4 linked regions of the Nothobranchius furzeri genome follow. The protein of the gene in region 3 purifies or fractionates together with the protein of the main gene of each other region. This does not show direct contact. Links are inferred from orthologs where the notes say so. Each region holds a gene or a part of one and is shown on either strand. Other genes may lie near its edges. The genes, in order: ppp2r2aa, serine/threonine-protein phosphatase 2A catalytic subunit beta isoform, ppme1 and serine/threonine-protein phosphatase 4 catalytic subunit B.

Region 1 (5,763 bases), on a different chromosome or scaffold from region 3:
TTCCTGCATGCTCAGATAATTCCCTTCCCTTGCTTGAAAAATTAATCCAAAATGAAAGTTGAACCCACATCTTTTTTATCTGTGAATTCAATGCCGTTCGGTGAGTCTCAAATAAAAATTTGAGCATCTTACTGTAAAAAAATATACCATCAATGTAAAAAATAAACTCTTAACTAAACCATATTCACATTGAGAATCAAGCCCGGGTCTTCTGCACGAGAGTCCAACATCTTACTAGGTGAGCTAAAGCACCAGTGACGTCATTTGTATCTGTAACATTTATATCGTTGATAACAGCTGAAACAATGGTCAAAGAACGGTTCGGAGCGAAAATGGCTATTTTGTTGCTAATTTGCAGGAAATATCTAGAAGAAAGTAGCTAAGGGTCCTCAGAAATGTAGCTAGGTTTATCACTAGGCGTTAGGAACAGCGACAAAGTCGCTGAGTTGGCACTACCTCTCTCTCTGCTGCTAAAGCTACTGATGGCAAATGCTACAGGCGATGCCTGAGCGTGAATGTTCAAGAAGCAGCCTGCTCGACCCGAGCAGCTCTCTTTTTCTTTGATTTTACAGAAAAACAGGCAATCACAGTAAAAATGTCAGGGCTCATTCTACAGGACCAGGGCATTGCAGGAGAATGTATGAAGAAGAAATTTATTATTTCTATACATGTTTTGGCTGTCAAACTTCTATAATACCCCTTTAAGGCAGTTCTGAAGGTGAAAGTGGGTCAAACACCATATTAGTATGTTCCTAATAATCCTTTAGGTGATTGTAATACATGATACTTATTCCATGCAAAGTCAGATATTTCAGGACTTTGTTATATTTGTGATGATTATGGCTTTCAGCTTATGAAAACCCCACATTCAGAAATCTCAAATGAATCCAAAACACCTGCAAAGGGTTCCTGAGCCTTTAGACAGTCTCTCAGTCTAAGTTGGATCACTGAAATAAACAGACTTTTGTACCATATTCTAATTTTGAGTTTCACCTGTATACTTGACCACATAATCAATAATACTTGCACACAAAAATCCATCCCTACATACAGCAGGTTTCAGAGGCTCAACAATTCGTCCATTTTTCATTCTCATGAAACAACCAACAGAAAAATAAATCATGTAAAGGTGAGAATTAAACATAAAAAGGATACTAAAGCTGCGATCGGTGATCTCCAAGTGCCAAAGGTTAATGCGCAAGTCATCTGCAGACAAATAGGTCTCATGATCACTGTTTACTGATATGGAGTTGATGTGATAGGTGTGAGCATTTGCAAACACTCGTCTGGGACTGGCTTCCACCATCAGATCCATGGGCCGCAGCACCGGTACCTGAGGAAGCATGTGGAACGAGAGTTAGCAATTATATAAAAATTATAATATTAAAATTACTTCATGTAGCTGAAAGAGAAAATGGCAGATGTGTTAAACTACTTGTGTAATAAAAATAGCACCGAGGCTAATAACCCAAGCCCCCAAAAATGAAATCAATAAAGGGAGAATGATTACAATTCACTCTGTGTGATAAGAACAGTTCAATACACACCCGTAGTGTTGTGACAGAATTGGGATCTCTGTATCGCCCGTCCTCTTCTTTTAAATTATAGCCCTCTGCTCTCTTGTCACGCTCACTGATTTTCCACAGTTTTATAGTTTTATCTGTCGGCGAGAAACTGCAGAGGTCAGGCATCTTAAGCAGTGGAAAAAATGTGCTGCAATCATGACTACTTGACCACTATAGTGAATCTCTTGTTGGCAGACAAGAAAGTGACACAGACAGTGTGTCTCAAATTCAGTCCCACTGTAGTGAATGAAAGCAGAGTGGGTCTGGTAGCTCACTAACCATTTGTTGATAAAAGAAACTGTGCAGCATTCTTCTGAGGTAACCATCGAATCTTGTTGATCTTCTCCTCGATCTCAAGACTTTTCAAATAGTCAAACTCGGGCTCGTGGCTCTGGAAGGTGCTGTAAACATTGTACTCTCCTCTGCACTGTGCCTGATTCTTACTCTGAACAAAAACACACAAAGTAAATCAGACTTTACTTCAGGTAGAATTAAGATTAAAGAAAAAATATGTTTAGAACAACTACTTTTTGTGTGTCTTTGAGACTCAGGCTACTCAGTTCCTAACTAAATAAAACAGTAAATAATGAAGTTATCAACTGTGAAAAACATGCAATCAGGTGCGTTATTTCACCAATCACCTACCTCTGGCTCCTGTTGAAAGATGACAACACGCCCCCCCTTGTCACCAGTGGCAAGCAGCTCACCAGAGTGATTGAATTCAACAGTAGATATGATGTCAGCTGTCAACATAGCATAGTTATTAACAACAACAATTAATAACGTACAAAACTACTCCATAAAATTGCTGATGGGGTGTGCTAGCTTCAGTCTCCCACCTGTTATCGTAAAACCTGAATGAAACATAGTGGAAACTAAACAGATCAGTGAAAACTAAATGCAACACTTAAACCACTTTCCATCTGGAGCTGTTCTCAGTAATCACATAGTGGCACTATTCTGAGCTGGTTCCAGTCCAAACCCAACACATACAGAGCCTGATACGACCTGACCCGTACAGTCCATTCAATAAAACAAAAGGAGACAGACTGGGGCAGAACATGTTCTCAGAGTGAAGCTTTACTGTAAACAACTCTCCAGGCTTTTATATGTAAATATGTCTGTTAAGTATTATGTAGGCACATTTTAGCACTCCCTTCACTTTGCAGTAAATATGATGAAACACTCAACGAATCTAAAGCAGTAAAACACCCAAACAGGACTGGATTCTTTCAACTTTAGTGCAAACATAACGCTCAAACGAGTTATTTGATGATGTGCACACACATCACATCAGAAATCAGTGCAAGCACCAATACGCACTTACCTTCTGCTACATCATCGTCCATCGCGCCTTTGACCTGGGAGAAGTACCACTGCACATCGCTGCTCCCACCACCGGGTCCTGCAAAAAACACAGCCCTGTTTCAACTTCCCATTAGCCGTGAGCTAACTCGATTCAAACTGTCCCTTAGACAAGAGAAAAGCTCACATATGCTTCACACGAACTGCATGTTGTGTGTGAGGGAGCAGCATGAGTGTTAATGGGTTTGGTTTGGGGGCTGTCACTTTTTAAGCCTGTTGGGGATTTAATTCGTAGTATCCTAGCATGCTAACTGGTTAGCCTGTGCTAGCTTGTAGAGAGTAATAGATACAACACCTCTGTGCCGAATGATACTGATACTAGAACATGCTTCAAGCTCATCGTGACGGTCTGTTTTTACCTGCCATGGTGAGGGGTTCAGACTGGGGTTCCTGCTACTGCTTCAGGCCCTGGACTGGACCCAGATCGGATGACTGACTGGGTGGTTCTGTCCGAATAGCTGAGGAGGAATTAAGCTTTGCTGGGTGTGCAGGATTATAAATAACCACAAAAGTCCTCGATCCAGCAGATACTACGAAAGCTAAACAGCTTTCAGTGGAAGAACACACAACCTTCACTACCGGTTTGCAGACTTTGCACTCCACTCTGAGATTTCCCTCGCAACTGCCGCTTCTGGCGATGCACTTCCAAAATGGCGCCGCGCGGGCGGTGTTGCTCAGAATCAGAGAGAACACGGTGCTCTAATAGTTTTAATATAAAAGTTCGTCAAACAACATCATGTGCAAAATGATATGTAATAAAAATAAAAATAAAACCCCCCGCCAAAATCTATTTTACGTCGAACAGTAAACATAACATTTTCTTGTTTACAGATGTAACGCATTCATCCCGCCCCTGTGGATTGTTACTGTGCAAAAAATCGAACTAACAGTTTTATTTCCTTCAATTAGCTTGTGTGTGTGTGTGTGTGTGCGCGCGCGCGCGTGTGTGTGGTGGTGGTGGTGGTGTGTGTGTGTGTGTGTGTGTGTGTGTGTGTGAAAAATATGATCACTTAAATTTTAAGTTGAACATTTTTTAAACCATTTTTTTACATTTTCTACTCATCACATCTCTTTTACTTCTAATATTTTAATTTTGAACAAACTTGCAATATAAAAACTTTGAATTGCACACACACACACACACACACACACACACACATGTATGTATATGAGTAAAATTCGGGGCAATAGACAGCTACACCCTGCCATTACTCAGATATCCTGCAGGAATAATAAGCTGGCCAAAGGAAGAAGTATAGACCACAGAAGCTCCTAACCATGCATCAAGGGTTCTATCCAAGGTCCAGCACCCTGAGACTGTACACTAGCCATAAGGAAGGAGGCCAAGGAGTAGTGAGTGTGAGAGCCACTGGCCAGGATGAAATTCAATTCAATTCAATTCAAGTTTATTTATATAGCGCCAAATCACGACAAGCATCGTCTCAAGGCACTTCACATAAACATTCCAATACAGGTCAATTCATTAAGCCAATCAGAAAAAAGTTTCCTGTAAGGAACCCAGCAAGCTGCATCGAGTCACTGACTGGTGTCAGTGTCTTTACAGCAATCCTCATACTAAGCAAGCATGCAGTGACAGTGGAGAGGAAAACTCCCTTTTAACAGGAAGAAACCTCCAGAGGATCCTGGCTCAGTATAAGCAGCCATCTGCCATGACTCACTGGGGATCAAGAAGACAGAGCACACACACACACACACACACACACACACACACACACACACACACACACACACACACACACACACACACACACACACACACACACACACACACACACACACACACACACACACACACACACACACACACACACGCACATACACACAGACACACACACACCAAGTAGTGTTTCTATGGTTACATTGTGATTTCTTAGTAAATATTCTTTTTGGTGAGAGATAAACTTTATTGTATTTATCCTAGTGAATCTATAATTAAATGGGTAAACTAGTAGTAGCACATTCAATGTCAAAGAAAGTAAAGTGTTATTAAGGAGAGGGAGAATGATGAAATGGTTAGCAACAGTGTTCAATACGATAGCCAAGAAAGATCCATAAGCACATCATGGCCCCAACAGATAACATGCTCAGTGAATGTCTCAGACAATGGTGAATAGAGGAGGAGGTGCTGGAAATACCATCATGGGAAGACACACCCCTCCATGGGATGTACCACCAACAGATAACTAAAGTGGTTGATATCAAGAAATCCTTCCAATGGCTAGAAAGAGCTGGTCTGAAGGACAGCACAGAAGCACTCATCATGGCTGCACAGGAACAGGCCCTGAACACCAGAGCAACAGAGGCCAAGATCTACCACACAAGACCCAAGGTGTAGGCTATGCAAAGAGGCCCCTGAGACAATCCACCACATAACTGCAGAGTGTGAGATGCTGGCAGGGAAAGCATACATGGAACGCCACAACCAAGTGGTTGGCATCGTGTACAGAAACATCTGTGCAGGACTGGAAGCCCCAAGGTCAAAGTGGGTAACACCCCCTAAGGTGGTAGAGAACTGAGTGAGCCAAGATCCTGTGGGACTTCCAGATCCAGACTGACGCAATTGTGATGGAGAACCAACCGGATATTGTGGTGGTGGGCAAACAACACAGGACAGTCTTTGTGGTTGATGTGGCAATACCAAGTGATGCAACATCAGGAGAAAGGAACATGAGAAACTAGAGATGTACCAGGGCCTCAAAGAAGAACTTAAGAAAGCCTGGAGAGTGAAGACATCGGTGGTGCCCGTGGTCATCAGGGCACTCGGGGCAGTAACCCCAAACTGGAGGAGTGGCTAAAGCAGATCCCAGGAAGA
Region 2 (6,092 bases), about 12 Mb from region 3:
GGATTATAAGCTTGTTTACCTGTAATGGAACAATATTTGACAGTTCTCCTCTTGACATTATAAATATACAAAACATATGCTTTCCTTTTACTAAAACACCTTGACATTGAAATGTAGGATTGTTGCGTAATAAAACTGATGGAAATCTGAAGAGTAGTTTAATCAAACAATGTAGGAAACCGGACTGAAATTCAGAAAACACAATCTGTATAACTGCAACATTTCCTCTCACAGTCACCCTGTTTGCCGGGTATAGTTTGATTAATGAATTTCAGTCACAGACAGTGGACACAAAAACATGTTTTTATTGTGGTTTAAAATATATGGAATTATTTTATGTTATTTTGTGGCAAAAAAAAGTTGCAGTTTCTCATTCTGTCTGCAGCCTGTGTGTTCCCATAATGTGTTGCCCATGCATACATGGATTGCCTCCCACTGACCAAAAACTCAAGACTCAAGACAACTTTATTAGTCCCCGAGGGGCAATTTGAGACAATTCATGTAAACCTTTGGCTCACACACACACACACATACACACACACACATGCACACACAAATACACATGCATACATGTAACTATATGCACGCACACATACAAGTTATGCACACTCCTATCGGCACTAAGAATTAAGAAGAAGCACAGCTCTGGGAACAAAGGAACTCCTCCTCTGTGTTTTACAGCATGGACATCGAAGTTGGCGTTTGGAGGGCAGCCACTCGAAAACAGTATGAAGAGGGTGTAATGGGTCTTTAATTATTTTCTATGCTAACTTCCTGTATGCTGGTCACATTGAGAAGTTAAGTTTTGCAGTGGTAGTCCAATGATCTGAGAGCACACCTTGACGGTGCTTTGTAGACGGTTTCTATACTGCAGGCTGACAGAATAAAACCAACAGGGGATGGAAAATGTGATAACACTCTCTATAAAAGAATAATAGAAAGTCAGTAAAATGTCCTTCCTGTCTCCAAATGAATTCAACTTCCTCAGGAGGTAGAGTCGTTGCTGGCATTTTCTGAGGATGTCCTCAGTGTTGGAAGCGAATTTCAGGAGGTGATCAAAGGTGGTCCCTAGATATGTATACTCTTCAACCAGCTCCACTGGCTGTCCATGAATGATAGTGGAGGCAGCGGTAACCAGCGCTCTCTGTTTGTTTGAGAAGGACACCATCTCCTTAGTTTTGGTCACATTCAGCTCCAGGCCTGCTGTGTCACACCAATCCACAAACTCCTGCAGGACCTGCCCGTGCTAAACAGTAGGGCCTGACAGAAGCGACAGGAGCACAGTGTCATCAGCGTATTTTACCATATAACTGTCAGGCTGGATGGATCTACAGTCATCTGTATGGAGAATGAAGAGTAGAGGAGACAACACACAGCCTTGTGGGGTGCCAGTGGAGGTGTAAAGAAGGTCTGTTAACTGGAGACAATAAACTGTCCCTAGATGTAATTGAATGTGTGACTGGTTGTTTGCCTTTATGTGTCCCTGTGATGGACTGGAGGCATGTCCAGATGTCCTCTGTCTGTCCCCTGGTGACTGAAGTGGGTAAAGATGAGTGAGTGAGTGAGTGAGTGAGTGAGTGAGTGAGTGAGTTACAAATAAACCACATAATGTGTACCTAGAGCAGCAAGCCCTGGTCTAGGATCAGCATCCCGGAAAAGACGATGAACTTGTTGTAGTTCGTTACTTCCCCGCGTGGTGTCGCTGGTGTTCCGAGTCTGCGCGCTGCTGAAGTGCCCGGATGTTGTTGCAGCTAGCTCTTTTAGCCTCTGCGACGCCGCTTCGATCTGCCGCAGCGGAGACTTTCGAAGATTTCGACTCCACTGGCTCATTTAAACTGGTTTTAATGTCGGTAACTTAACATTGGTGGTTTATCATGAGAGAAGTTGTCTGAAAGGGTCGTTATTTTTAGGACTAATCGAATATTTTTCAACCGGACTGGATCGGGTTAACAATACGACAAGCTAAAGGCTGAATCAGTTCGCGTAGGGACCGGACGCCGTTTTTTATTACAGCTGAAATGGAAGATAAATCTTTTACTAAAGAATTAGACCAATGGATCGAACAGCTCAACGAGTGCAAGCAGCTAACGGAAAACCAAGTGAGGACCCTCTGTGAGAAGGTAAGCGCTCATTTGATTCCGCTGACCTCAATTTATAAGCGGCCTGGTTCTCAGCGGCCCCGACTAATTTCTGGAAAGGAAGTAACGTGTATTTTGGTTTTTATCTCCCTATTGACCCGTCAGCCGCAGGTCATCCCTGTTTATTAGTACTAGAAATGAGAAATTATTCGTATTGTTTTTGGTGTTTGAAGATCAGAGGCTAGTTTTATCAGTGATGACGGTTAACCAACAGTCGTAGTTTGAGCACCAACAGGCCGAAAATCGCACCTTAAATGTCTAGTAAATAGATGCAGCCCTCGTTACCATCCACCCGTTTTTTTATTTGACGTGGTTTCCCTCGGTTTGTTCCATGCGAAATATTATGTTAAAATCAGTATTAAGTCAGCGTCTTTAGAATTGGTTTGTTTGCGTACGTGCGGGGTTTCGCACCGCACCCTGTCTGTATTGATTTATCGTTTATTGCATAAACCCATCCTACCTCCCAGTTATTAGACGCGTCCGCATTTTTGCTGTCGCATAATAAATTAGTTCTTATGACTTTTTGCATCGTGTTATTTTTTTAAACATACATTATTATAATTGAGTGACTTTAGCGGTTTTTCAGCTGAAATCAGGAACCAGCTGAGGATTCAACAGGCCAGATAAACGTGGAAACTTATGGAGCTGCAAAAGATGATTTTTATTTATTACTAAAGTAAATAAACAGCTTTTGTGTATATTTATGTCGTTTTGCTGAGCAACACTTTGAACTAAAGAGTTAAACTATCAATCGATTTTGATGCCTTTAATTATGTTTCCTTTTCATAATTAAAGCTTTTTTTCCTGTATTATTTTGTTATTATTGTGAGCTTACCAAATATAAAGAATCAAAAACTGAACCACTGCAGAGAGGCTCTTTATTCTGATGTTTTTGCACATAAACAACAACAAAAAACCAGGTTTCACCATACATCCTGTTTGTTATTCTACAGGAACTGGGGTCTTGCCTGGCTTCCAGCATGTTTTCACCCATGATGCAATAATTCTGTCCTTTTTAAACTTTTGGTTATGTAAATAAAAACACACAAATGTGACCAGTTTAATAAATTTTTGTGTTCTTTTCAGGCAAAGGAGATTCTGACTAAGGAGTCCAACGTTCAAGAGGTGAGTTTGGCCCAAAAAAATCCTAATAAGTCGCCTTCTTCAATACTGCATACATCCGAGTTAATTTGCAGTTTTTGTTCCTGTTGGGGGGGGGTTATCTATGAGGAAATGGAAATCCATTTGAAGAGATTATTCCGTTTGTTTCTAAAACGGTCAGGGTCAGTTTGTGTTATTTTATCATCTTGTGTGTTCCAGTCACACCAGAGTCTCTGGGTTGTATGTTCAAACTTTTAGTAGAACAAACCAGAGGGGCTGGCTTCCCAAACTCAGTTCCTCTTTAGTACCGACCAAATATTTAGTAGGAACTGGTACGGAATAAATATGTATTTTTTGTTGTGAAACTTCAGTATTGTCTTGATAAATTGGCCCTAATAATGAGCCGAACAGCTCCGCACGCCGTGTGACTAAAGGAAGCTGCTCTCTCACACACCATTTATGGCAGGAGTTAATGTAACATTTCAGATAAGATTTGTGTTGCTAAATATGACAAAACAGCAATTTAATAAAGCGCAGCGTCGTTCCTGGTGTTGGTCTGTGAGCCGAAACATGAACCGATTTCATCTGCTGCTGCCAAAAAAAAACAACCAGACTCAAGTCCACAACCCTCCTGCGCTGCAACAGCAACACGGCGGCGTCACCAGGATTGTTTTTTGTTCTGCCTCTTTAAATTTGTATGTTCTAGGGCTGCACGATATTAGGAAAACCTGTGATATGCAATAACGGTGATTAATATTGCAATGACGGTATTACTTGCGATAAATATAAACTTAATTCAGGAACAAAAATAATCAAAAGCAAATAAATAAAAAAGTGACAAAAATATCATAGAAATGAAAAAAGCTAACTTAAAAAAGTTTACTTTTGATTTGGACTAAAAGGTAAAAACTAACTTTTTTTTATTCATTAACTGCCAACCATTTCCTGATCAGAAAAGCCCTTCACTTCCAGCATTTTTACTCCTTTTTTTTATAGAGTGACAGAATGTTGCACGCTAGGATGATGTCGACACCAAAACAACCAAAACAAAGCGGAGACTCACCTCTTACATCAGGAAGAATCCGCGTGTTTCGAGCGTTATCCGTTCTTTAATAATACGTTGTTGAATTGTGATCGTCAGAAGCTTTTCCGGTTCACGCCTCACTTTTTTTACAGCAGCGGCCCAAAACGATCTCCTAACACGTGGATGTTCTGCTTCCTGATCACGTGACGTATGCGGATGAAGATCGGCTTTAGAGCTGAGATGTTTGTTCTCACGGTGCGGGGGCTCGTCCGACGCCCACACAGTAAAAACATGCAAATGACGACTGGCAGTTAATGAGTTAATCTTATAGTTTACTGTTTGCATTGAAAGTTTGCCATTTAGTTGAGTCTAATAAACATTTAAGTACTTTTTATTAATGATGCGTACGTTCTGACCCTTCGTCTCTCCGAGCGCGTTAGGAAACTTGGCCACTTTAGTCGCTTGTTTTGGGTTGTAATGCGAAACTTAAAAGGTCAACGTATCAAGTCGGAGACTCTTGGATAAGTGAATCGATTTTTCTTCCAAATCAGTGAACTGGAACAGGATCGGGGGTCCAATAACTGATCTGGTGGAGCTCACCACCACACAAGAGGTGATGTGCAGCAAAAAGCACAGAAACAGTAATTAAGGTAGTTTAGGCCTTCTACAGAGATCATCAGCAGCGTTCTGTATTCATGCTGAGTTAACTGCCGTGTGGTGGATGTTGGAGTGACCCTGTGATGGTGTGACACCCCCTCCAGGTGAGATGCCCGGTGACGGTGTGTGGGGATGTCCACGGTCAGTTCCACGACCTGATGGAGCTGTTTAAGATTGGTGGGAAGTCCCCCGACACCAACTACCTGTTCATGGGAGACTATGTGGACAGAGGCTACTACTCTGTGGAGACGGTCACTCTGCTGGTCACGTTAAAGGTAAATCACAGGTTAATGAGCCACATTCTGCCGTTTGACCAGAAACTAAACAGTTTTTAATCGTCAGAAAAAAACTTTCATATTTTCTAAGTTCGTAGACGTTTGTTTTTCTCCTGTTTTTGATCAGATTTAATGTTCAGAAACGCTTTAAAGCTGTGAGGGTAACAGATCTGATGAACAAATGTCTGAACTCGTTCTTCCCACCACTCCAAATCTTCTAAAAATAATCCTCGTTAGTCTGATTTTCTTTGAGAGGCGTCTCTGAGGTTTTGGGTCAACATGAAAACAACCTAAAGCCAAAAGGAGGCCTGTTGCTGCATTTAAATCTGTTTCTCGTGAGGTGGTCCCAGGTGGGCCGAGTTACGGGCTCCACTTTGTAAACCGTCGGGGTCGATGTTATTTCTGACATGCAGATAAAATCTGTTTTATTCAGTAAATCTACAGTTCAGTGCTGCAAAGTTCAGAGTTTTTCACCCAGACGGTCACCAACGCCAACATCAGACGCTTGTGGGTCTGATGTTTGTGTTGGATGCTGCTGTCGGTGTGTTGATGGGTTTACCGTCCAGCTTTACTGTATCGGTAATAGGGTTGTCACGGTAACCGGTGTAGCGGTACACCCTGGTAAAAAAAAAAAAAGTTGACAATAATAACCGTCTTGTTTTTAAAACACATATTATCTCGGTGGGTTACCGTGGCTGCGGTGTAGGCGCGGTGACCCTTACCAGCCACCGTATCATCTGCTGAAGTTGCCGGCGGCACATGCGCACTTTGTTGTTTACAACCAAAACTTTCTTGAAGCTAAAGCTGAAATAATGTCCAAAGGAGGAGACGGCAGCACTCAGGACATTTATTATCCCTCAAAGAAGACAAAGTGGGAAGTACGGGCATCTTTTGGAT
Region 3 (4,824 bases):
GACTCTGGAACTCTCTCCCCCTGAGCCTGAGATCAGTGGACTCAGTGGTCTCCTTTAAAAAGCAGCTGAAGACTCACTTGTTCAAGCTGGTTTTGGTGTGACCTTCATCACCCTCTCCTTGTTCTGCTCTCCCCACCTATTCCACCTTCCTCAGGATCCACTGATTTCCCTCTTTCGTATTCACTCCCTCTCTTTACACTTTGAATCACAATTGTCTATTTTTGCTCATTTTGAATATATTTTTAATCATTTTCCAAATTCTTTTTAAATTTTTTACATTTTTTGTTTTTGTGAAGCACCTCATGATTTTTATCTTGAGAGGTGTTACAGAAAAGATCTTTTCTTCTTCTTCTTCTAATGAGGTTTATTCAAAAAATGCATGTTTGTAAAATAAACCCATGAAATTAATGTTAAAACTAATCAGGTTTCAAATCAAAACTATACAAAGAAAGAATCAGAATCTATGAAAATAACCAGTTCAAGACAATTTTCATTTTATACATTTTCCTACAATAAACTAGTTCCCATTCTCCCTGGACCCAACAGCATAAGAGCGGATTGATCCAGATGGATTCGCTACGATAGACAAAACAGATCCATTAAACCCAGAACCACCTAACCCAAGTGAGGTAATGATTCCCCACAGATACAAAGCTATCCCTCTGAGCTGTTTTGCGTTATCTGTGATGGGTTTTGTGTTGATTTTTGTTTCACTTACCACAGAAATCCTTCCTTAAACTCGGTGAATTTGTGCCGGACCATAAATGTTGCGAGAGCATCTGCTACCTAACAGAAAACACCAGAGAAATTAAACAGCTGAAGACTCTGTGGGTCAAACAGAACCCCTTCCTTTGGTTTATCGGTGCAGGTGAAGGACTCTTACTTTATCAGGTGCGTCCTCGTGGACAGCATGTCCACACTGAGGTAGGACCTGCATCTGAAACTTCCCTGTGGACAAAGGGTGCAGCTGTCAATGAGACAAACACATTCTACAACACACTGATATAATGCAGCACATTTACCTTGCATCTGTCCAATTGTAAGGTCTTTGTCCAGCCGGTCCACTCCTGGACAAAGGAACAAGTCAGGAGTGAAACTGTGGTAAAATTCTCCCTGAACCACCTTTCAGAACATCAGGTAAAAAAAAAATCTGAGTGGTAGACGAAGAACAAACCTGCAAGCAGAAGCAGCTTTGGCACAGAGCAGGAGAGGAAGAGTGCTGACAGACCTCTAAACCAGCCCTCCCAATACTTTTCCGTCTTTGACAGCTCCACTCGCCAAGTGAAGACGCTTTCCTTTTTGACCTGGAAGTAGAACTCGGCCTGTTTCAGTGGGTTTCTACAAGGAAAAGGTCACATCAGAGAGGAAAAGCAGTCACAAACTGAACCTGGTGTTCATCTTCCTTCATTCTTTTCTTGTTTGATTCCTCCTCTGCTTCTTCATCCTCCTCTTCCTCGATGATGCCTTCACCCAGGCTGTTGGTAACACTTGGGCTGCTGATGGACTCCTCACATCTGTGATTAGAAGAAGAGAAACGGGTGAATATACTTGATCAGAATCTAAACGTACAAAAAACAAGAACCTACTTCTTCACTTGTCCTCCCATCGACACCCGAGCTGACTCCAGGTTTCTAATCTGGCCACTTTTCACACTAAAACAAAAGATAACGTTAGCCAACATCAACATTCGACACCTGCAGGGGGAAATGATGCAGCTCTCTCGAAGATCAAACGTGTACCTCCACTCAATGGCATTCTCCAGAGACTTAAACGTCTTTGGCCGACTTCTGAGGAAATTTTGCATGCTGTTCAAAGCATCCATGGCAGTACCTAGAGAAGAAAAACTCTTTCACTGATGACCTCATTATTAGATCTTTAGTTTCATTTTGGCTTCTATATTACATCCTTTAGACTCCAACACAGGCCCATCTCCCCCCTTCAAACTCCCTTTCAGAATCTAGGGCGCTGGTGGCTCTTGGTAAGGGCTGGGTGACTGGGTGTGCACTGGCTCCCTTCCAGCAGATGCTTGGTGGAGTCTGGTGCTTCCTGGCCTGGTTGGGTTCCTGCCGGGTGGCGAGGTGCCCTGGAGTCTCGGGTCTCTGGGTCCATATTCCAGTCTGCTCAGGGGGAGCCGGCTGCAGGTGGGGTCTGTGGGATTGTCACTGCAGCCCCCTGAGGTTTCTGTACTGTAGCTGCTGGTTAGCTCCTTTGGTCGACGGTCCCTTTGTTGGGGGAGGACTGTGGTCCTTCCTGTGGTGATCATCATGGGGTCCCTGTCCTCTTGGGAGGTCCTGGGTGACCTTTGGGCCATTCCCATCTGTACCTGGTCGGCCCGGCATGTGGCATGTGGTCTTGCTTACATATCTTGGTGGCCTGCCTTTTTTCAGGGTGCAATGAGACTGTTTTTCAGCCCTCTTTCTGAGGTGGTCTGCTTCAGGCTGACCAGGGCCAACACACCCATGGCTGACAGCAAATTCACACCTTCCATTAGAGCAAGCCTCTGATTGGTCGGTAGAATCAGCCCACATGGGCTTAAGGCATGCTCAATTCATTATCATACATTATCATGCTGATTGCCTAGAAGCTGAAAATGTCTGACTGCATTCCTTGTATAACACTTAGCAAGGATGTGTGGAATCAACCGAGCCTGGCTGGGGCCGACTGGAGCTATCCGGGCTGGGCTAACCAGGTACAGATGGGAATGGCCCATAGTTCTTATCATTCCCCATGGTCTGCTTCAGGGCCTGGGAGGGACGGGCCTGGGGTCCTCCACACCCGTAGTAAATAATGTCAGGGAGAAACCACAGAACCGCGTACACACACTTAACAAGTCTGTGGCTGCCACTTATGATATTTTAGTATTTATCAGGAACACTAAACGTGCATTTGTTGGTCGATGGTAGGGCTGGGCAATTTATCGATATTTAAAAAAATATCGATTTAATTTCAAGCAAGAAACGAGATGACTTTATCGATAAAACTAGTCAAGCTGCAAGCATAGCGGCTAGCGATTAGCTTGGGCACTCGGGTCAATGTTTGATGAGAATCAATACATTTAGTTTGCTGTACATCATTATAGACAGCTTGAAGGCAGTTAACTTATTAATATGTTACAGGAGGGAAAATATTGAGATATAAATCGTTTATCGGAATTCAGCTAAACGATATTGAGATATAAGTTTTGGCCCATATCGCCCAGCCCTAGTCGATGCCGTGGTTTTTGTTTTCTTTTCTCTCTTGGGCAATTGTTCTAAGGGCACCCAGACACCAATTCTGAATGCACTGCCAGACAGCATGGGGGGGGGGGGGGGCTCCTAAAACTATGTGAAGGTAAATCTTTGTGAGCTTTGCTCTGATATGATGCAACAAAGAAAAAAGCACGAGAGTTTACCTTCTACAACATCGATGACACACAGCCCAAGCAGGGACGGCACTAGATTGGCACTGGCTGTATGAACTGCAATGGCCCCGCCCATACTGTGGCCAATTATCAAGATGGGAGGTGGGCTCTCTCCATAGAGTGCCTCCACCACTTTACCAACATCTCTTTTGGAAAACACATGAACAGCCGGTTAGCCTTGTTATATTTACTGAATCTCTCTTTTCAGTTAAGATATTAACCAACGACAAACAACTTATTTTAAACTAGCCTGAAAATGAAACGCAGAAACCTGCAGAATGTGTTTAAACTCTACAAGTCAGTGGACAAGAACTTACTTTGCCATTGTGTCTGCAGAAAGATCCTCAGGATTTTTAACTTTGGTGTCTCCTGCAAAGAAAAAGGCACATTAACATAATAAACCACTTCAATTAAAACCTCCAGTTCAACGCTTCCAGGACCTGCAGCTCAGTAAAATGCCACACCCACAGCCACACCCATCTGTTATCTGATAGGTTGGGTACATTTATGATTGACAAGACATGGACCAGTCAACTGAGGGGCAGAAACATTCGGCCAAACTTCGTACTTGCAAGCTGAAAGTCACACAAAGTTAAGGGAACTTAAGCCTAGTTTATGCTTCTGCGTCTGTGTGGAGACATGCAACGCTATTATCGACGTAATCGAGCCCACTTTTCTAAACATCTGTCGAACGAGACGTAGAATGCAAGCTTGTGATTGGTCAGGACGCTGCTTTCGTCAACAGCACTGCCATTGCACCTTCAAAAGCATAAAGACAGCCGAAGATAGTAGCAGCTTAAAGAATACCTCAAGGAAAAACTCTATATGAACGTCTTATTCACCTGTGACTGGAGGGGTAAAAAGATATGCAGCAAGCGTTTTATTCGTGGATGGAAATGACGGGAACTGTGGTTTTAGAGATTAAGTGTAAGCGCATGAAGAGGTGGAGGAGAATGAGGGACACATTTTTCCATGTTAAAAAGTCTCTGAAATACAAAAAACACAACAAAAACACAATAGTAAATGTGCCATCTTTAACCAGATACAAAACAGGATACCTCAGAACAGCGCTACGCCCTTCGTTGTCCTGGTGAGGAATTGCTTTACAACACTCCCAAAGAGACGGAGAAGTCCGAGAGCAAAACGTCTCTGTCAATGCGTGTGTGTCTCTCACTTGTGGAGCTGATGCAGAAGCACAAACTACTCTTTAGGTTTCAAGTGAAGGGGTTTGAAGAAAAAGATGGCAAGCTGTGGCTCCATCTGTCACTCAATCACAGTCTGGATCTTCAGTACATCCTGGAATGTGAGAGCTTCAATAATCTTTTTTTGACAACTTCTTCTTGTCCAACAAGGACGTTAGCAGTAGCTCGGGCTAGCGTTGTTCTGCAGTTAGCATCACCGCGATAAACAGACGTTTAAGTGGG
Region 4 (5,321 bases), on a different chromosome or scaffold from region 3:
CCCACTGCCTCCTGCTTGTATTATTATTATTATTATTAGCAAATACAAAATAAACATCCATCATTTTATTGGCAGTTTATGGTTCTTTTAGTGTTTTCAGCAGCAGAGACTGGTTCCTGCTCCATCTCATGTATGAAATGAGACCACTGGGTTCAAACAAAATAACGAACCAGGCCAAACATGTTATTTATCTTATTTCATTGATAAATGTAGTTTTTAAAGCTCAATTTTTAAGTTGTTAATTTAAAAGCAAATATTTTAAATATGATTAAATACCTGCTAAAAAGCACTAGGATGTGGGAAATGACATCTGCTCACTAAAACTTCTCAGTGGGAGTCCCCCAGACCAACTCCCCCATCACCGGATATCCTCTCAGGGGGTGGCTACTTTCCTTGATGTGGAGTGGGTCTCATCTTCTTCACCCTTGACCCATTTTCATGTCTGAGTTAGAAGGCACAAAGGGATGCCCACATATTCCACAACCACCAAACCCAGTGTGTCTGATGGTGTGAGTGTAAAATTGAGATAAAGCACATGCATGCTCATTATTAATGCAGGCATGTGCTTTAATAATGAGCATGATATCGATATCGGAAGTAATTCGATTTTGGCTCAAAAATACTGTATCTGACTATATCGGACTGCGTCAGAAATCTCCGATATAAGCAGCTGGTTACGGTTCACAATTTTGCAACCAGTGGTTAAAAAAAAGCCCCCTTTTTCACACTTACTGTTATTAGCTCTTGCACACGTTCCATTGCTGTTTCTCACCAGTATCAGCTGATGGAGGGCTCTTGCGCCGTTCATGTCAGGGGGCACGGTAGGGTCGGGGAGGGGGGGCGGGCATGACTCTTAGCCTGGCGGGTGGCCAAGCTTATAAAGCGCTGGGGGAAACCCTGCAGAGTGAGGGACTCTGGTTGTGCATCAGAATTATATTAAAAGAGTAAAAAACACACTATAATTAACGCTTTTTCAGTCTACTGTTTTTAATATAAATCTGACTCACAACTAAGGTCCCACATTCGTTACAGTTATGAACAACAAGTAAAGAGGGAGTGGGATGACCGCTGGAATGTCCGTCAGATTCAAAACCGGTTGCACAGCAGCCCGTCTGACATCAAATACACAGCTCTGCTTGTGATTGCACGCTCATAAGTGCATTCTGGAGGCCACGGTTTTTAAAAACACCAGTTTTCTCGTATTTAACTAAACAATTACACAGACTGTTCCTTATTTACTAGACAAATAAGGAGTCAGACGCAGCAGGAGCGTTATGACCGACTGACCTGTTGCTGGCCTCGGTTCAGGTTGCTGCACCATGTTCTGCCGGGCTCGGTGCTTTGATGTGAGGCTTGTGTTCCGGGAATGAAATAAGAATAAAATGCTCCCAAACTGCTAACCACTCCATGATTGAGCACAGTTGTTGGGTCATGTGACGAGCTCATTTAGTCTAACATATTGTGATAGCAGAAGGACTTGAAGCAGTTAACCTGGCAAACTATTTTACCTGGTTACAACATTAACGGCTATTAACCGTTTAACTAAGTACATCCCTGGTTCATAGAGCACGGGCAAAGGTCTGTGTGTGTCGGGGTGGTTTAAGGTTAACTGACCATTAAAGCTTCTTTCTGGAGTATTTCTCTTATCCGATGGCACCATCTACAAGCTTATCACACAAAATCGCTGTTCCTCTGTTTTTTTAAGCTTCACGTTCCTGTTCATATATGTGCTTCTGTAGCCGACAAACGGCTAAAACACGTTGTTTTCAATTCAAAAATACTTTATTAATCCCAAAGGGAAATTGATTGCTGTAGTAGCTCAGAATAATAATAATAATAATCAAGTCATCAAAGAGTTATTGTATATTACAATGGCTGTTGGCAGGAAGGATCTCCAGTAGCGGTCAGTGTTGCAGCCAAACTGAAGAAGCCTCTGACTGAAGACACTCTTCCGTTGTCGGACAGTCTTGTGAAGAGAATTATTTTACGAGTATTATTGTCATGTTGTGTTTTCATATATTTATATTTTAGAGACTAACTTGTCCGTGAAAAGTTCATGAACTCAGCATCGGCCGAGGTATTCCTTAAATGTGAAGCGTCTAAGCGGTAGTCTAATGCTATTGGTTAGTTCTGGCCGGCGCTCAGTTTCCTACTGCACGGAGCTCTGCGGGGCAGGGGGCGTGCTTGGCAAAAAAAAAAAAGATGTATCGCTTATATTATATCACAGTACATGATGAGATCATCACTTCTACGGATTTCAGAAAAATCATTCATTGTTTCTGAAAGGGGAAAACTCCGGAAAGCTGCTTTAAGCGTTAAAGGTGTCAATAACTGGTTAAAGAAATTGTAGAAAACGTGCATCCCCTTTTAATACCCAAGAATTGAAGTTTTACAGTATTCTGTGTTTTAACGTTACTGTTGGCCAATAAGGCGAGATGTTTCTATCGTAATATTGAGCCTTTATTTTTGGTCCACCACGCCTCAGACAAACTCCCTGTGAGACTGTTTTCACACAGAAAACGAGGCTGCATTATTGAAGCTGTCAATGGAAATGCTGCTTGGGATTTGTGTGTGTGTGTGTGTGTGTGTGTGTGTGTGTGTGTGTGTGTGTGTGTGTGTGTGTGTGTGTGTGTGTGTGTGTGTGTGTGTGTGTGTGTGTGTGTGTGTGTGTGTGTGTGTGTGTGTGTGTGTGTGTGTGTGTGTGTGTGTGTGTGTGTGTGTGTGTGTGTGTGTGTGTGTGTGTGTGTGTGTGTGTGTGTGTGTGTGTGTGTGTGTGTGTGTGTGTGTGTGTGTGTGTGTTAGTTTGGAAAAGCGATGCGACATGGGGTCACTGCCGACTTAGCCTATGTAATAGCCACAGCATGAACTGTTGAAACCAATAAACTAGATAAAACCTTTCCTGGCAGGTTGGTGGCGATGTTCCAGAGACTAACTACCTCTTCATGGGTGACTTTGTGGATCGAGGCTTCTACAGTGTGGAGACTTTTCTTCTGCTTCTAGCTCTTAAGGTAATTCTGGTCTTTGGTTTGTTTTTCACTCTTTATGACATTCTTAGTTCAAGTCATTTTCATTCATCTTTTGACCCTTGTTTGGCACCTCAGGTGAGGTATCCAGACAGGATAACTCTAATCCGGGGAAACCACGAGTCTCGACAAATTACCCAGGTCTATGGCTTCTACGACGAGTGTCTTCGCAAGTATGGCTCAGTCACCGTTTGGAGATACTGCACTGAGATATTTGACTATTTGTCCCTGTCTGCTATCATTGATGGCAAGGTGAGATATGGACGAGTTATTTAAATTTTCTGCATCTTTTTGTATTATTTTGGGTGTCGGTCTCTAAAGTTTTGTGTTTTCTGTGCATCTCAGATCTTCTGCGTGCACGGTGGTTTGTCTCCCTCAATCCAAACATTAGACCAGATCAGGACCATTGACAGAAAGCAGGAAGTGCCCCACGACGGACCCATGTGTGACCTTTTGTGGTCAGACCCTGAAGGTATCTGCAGGCTTTTGCTCTCTGAATAAATAGTGTGAGAGTGGCTTAGGGATGAGGAGTTTGCCCTGTAACTGGTGGGTTGCTGGTTTGAACCCAGGCTCTGTCTGCATGATAAACACTCATGTTGGTGTTACAACTGAACATACAACAGTAAGTCTTCGTGATCCTATGTTTCCTGTTTCTGTCAGACACCACAGGGTGGGGCGTGAGTCCCAGAGGGGCTGGCTACTTGTTTGGGAGTGACGTGGTGGCGCAGTTCAATGCTGCCAATGATATTCACATGATTTGTCGAGCACACCAGCTGGTGATGGAGGGCTACAAGTGGCACTTCAACGAGACGGTGCTCACTGTGTGGTCTGCACCCAACTACTGCTACAGGTGGGTAGCCAGGTTACATTGCATTAGTCGTTCCACTAGCAGAGGATGTAGATTACAGCACACAGTGGGAAAAACAATAACCTGCTGTTTGTCCTTCAGCTGTTTTCACACTTAAAGCAACATATAAACTTCCTCGCTTTTCATTCCTTCTGATTAAAAGCTGAATTAAAACCCAGCTGCAGCCTGCGGTAGCTAGCGCTTTCCCCAAAAAGCTGTCCCTGCTAAGAAGCCGCACAGCTCTGTATCTCCCGTTGCTGCGTGTGAGGTTCTTTAACCTTACCAGGTTTGGGTCCACTTCACTAAATGCGATGGCTAGGAATGGGAACCTTTGACCTTAAAATCAATATGGTACAAACTCCCAGTACCTACTACTGGTACTTAACAGTACCAGTTTTCTATACTTTTGAGTGTTTAATAATTATTAAAATCGCTTTTTTATTAAATATATATATTATTTTCCCCATATATAGCCATATTTGATGAATAACATACAACAGTTTGTATTTTATCATCGTAGTGTTGTACAAAATTCTTCAACATGAAAACTTTTAACAAGTTACTAAATGACGCAAAAATAAAACCAGCTCCATGGACCCTGATCCTCTCCTCCGCCCTCTGGAATAACTCTGATGAGGAGACCGTGTGTTATAAACTACAAATGAAACTAAAACACACTCCGATACCATACAACAGTTTGTATTTTAATATTGTGGTGTTTCACAAACTAAACCAGCTCCGTGTACTCCTCTTCTTTCTCCTCTGGACAAACTGTGTGATGGTGGGTTCTTGTAGTTTTATAAAATGTGTGATGGTGGTTCTTGTAGTTTTATAAACTATGATGGTGGGTCCTTGTAGTTTTATAAACTATGATGGTGGGTTCTTGTAGTTTTATAAACTATGATGGTGGGTCCTTGTAGTTTTATAAACTGTGATGGTGGGTCATTGTAGTTTTATAAACCGTGTGATGGTGGGTCATTGTAGTTTTATAAACTATGTGATGGTGGGTCCTTGTAGTTTTATAAACTATGTGATGGTGGGTCCTTGTAGTTTTATAAACTATGATGGTGGGTCCTTGTAGTTTTATAAACTATGATGGTGGGTCCTTGTAGTTTTATAAACTATGTGATGGTGGGTCCTTGTAGTTTTATAAACTATGTGATGGTGGGTCCTTGTAGTTTTATAAACTATGATGGTGGGTCATTGTAGTTTTATAAACTATGTGATGGTGGGTCCTTGTAGTTTTATAAACTATGTGATGGTGGGTTCTTGTAGTTTTATAAACTATGTGATGGTGGGTCCTTGTAGTTTTATAAACTATGTGATGGTGGGTCCTTGTAGTTTTATAAACTATGATGGTGGGTCCTTGTAGTTTTATAAACTATGTGATGGTGGGTCCTTGTAGTTTTATAAACTATGATGGTGGGTTCTTGTAGTTTTATAAACTATGA

What was found.
Region 1: the proteins of ppme1 (region 3) and ppp2r2aa purify together in Homo sapiens (affinity purification with mass spectrometry; 3 studies listed by BioGRID and IntAct, with this or other methods). This does not show direct contact. The link is inferred for Nothobranchius furzeri from reciprocal best matches to the Homo sapiens genes PPME1 and PPP2R2A.
Region 2: the proteins of ppme1 (region 3) and serine/threonine-protein phosphatase 2A catalytic subunit beta isoform purify together in Homo sapiens (affinity purification with mass spectrometry; 6 studies listed by BioGRID and IntAct, counting the BioPlex papers as one, with this or other methods). This does not show direct contact. The link is inferred for Nothobranchius furzeri from reciprocal best matches to the Homo sapiens genes PPME1 and PPP2CB.
Region 4: the proteins of ppme1 (region 3) and serine/threonine-protein phosphatase 4 catalytic subunit B purify together in Homo sapiens (affinity purification with mass spectrometry; 3 studies listed by BioGRID and IntAct, with this or other methods). This does not show direct contact. The link is inferred for Nothobranchius furzeri from reciprocal best matches to the Homo sapiens genes PPME1 and PPP4C.

The regions. Positions count from the first base shown.
Region 1 is NC_091757.1:37,262,136-37,267,898, forward strand, and holds the start of ppp2r2aa (serine/threonine-protein phosphatase 2A 55 kDa regulatory subunit B alpha isoform), read right to left. Parts: upstream 3,513-5,763; 5' UTR 3,297-3,512; coding exon 3,290-3,296; intron 2,971-3,289; coding exon 2,893-2,970; intron 2,309-2,892; coding exon 2,211-2,308; intron 2,011-2,210; coding exon 1,845-2,010; intron 1,661-1,844; coding exon 1,548-1,660; intron 1,334-1,547; coding exon 1,156-1,333; intron 1-1,155. UniProt on the Homo sapiens protein: Substrate-recognition subunit of protein phosphatase 2A (PP2A) that plays a key role in cell cycle by controlling mitosis entry and exit. Involved in chromosome clustering during late mitosis by mediating dephosphorylation of MKI67.
Region 2 is NC_091750.1:36,847,313-36,853,404, forward strand, and holds the start of serine/threonine-protein phosphatase 2A catalytic subunit beta isoform, read left to right. Parts: upstream 1-1,728; 5' UTR 1,729-2,018; coding exon 2,019-2,120; intron 2,121-3,224; coding exon 3,225-3,263; intron 3,264-5,024; coding exon 5,025-5,195; intron 5,196-6,092.
Region 3 is NC_091750.1:48,882,289-48,887,112, reverse strand, and holds part of ppme1 (protein phosphatase methylesterase 1), read right to left. Parts: intron 3,770-4,824; coding exon 3,718-3,769; intron 3,547-3,717; coding exon 3,392-3,546; intron 1,831-3,391; coding exon 1,740-1,830; intron 1,653-1,739; coding exon 1,587-1,652; intron 1,515-1,586; coding exon 1,388-1,514; intron 1,305-1,387; coding exon 1,175-1,304; intron 1,068-1,174; coding exon 1,023-1,067; intron 949-1,022; coding exon 884-948; intron 787-883; coding exon 719-786; intron 1-718. UniProt on the Homo sapiens protein: Demethylates proteins that have been reversibly carboxymethylated. Demethylates PPP2CB (in vitro) and PPP2CA. Binding to PPP2CA displaces the manganese ion and inactivates the enzyme.
Region 4 is NC_091758.1:11,562,390-11,567,710, forward strand, and holds part of serine/threonine-protein phosphatase 4 catalytic subunit B, read left to right. Parts: intron 1-2,906; coding exon 2,907-3,008; intron 3,009-3,101; coding exon 3,102-3,275; intron 3,276-3,368; coding exon 3,369-3,495; intron 3,496-3,683; coding exon 3,684-3,873; intron 3,874-5,321. UniProt on the Homo sapiens protein: Protein phosphatase that is involved in many processes such as microtubule organization at centrosomes, maturation of spliceosomal snRNPs, apoptosis, DNA repair, tumor necrosis factor (TNF)-alpha signaling, activation of c-Jun N-terminal kinase MAPK8, regulation of histone acetylation, DNA damage checkpoint signaling, NF-kappa-B activation and cell migration.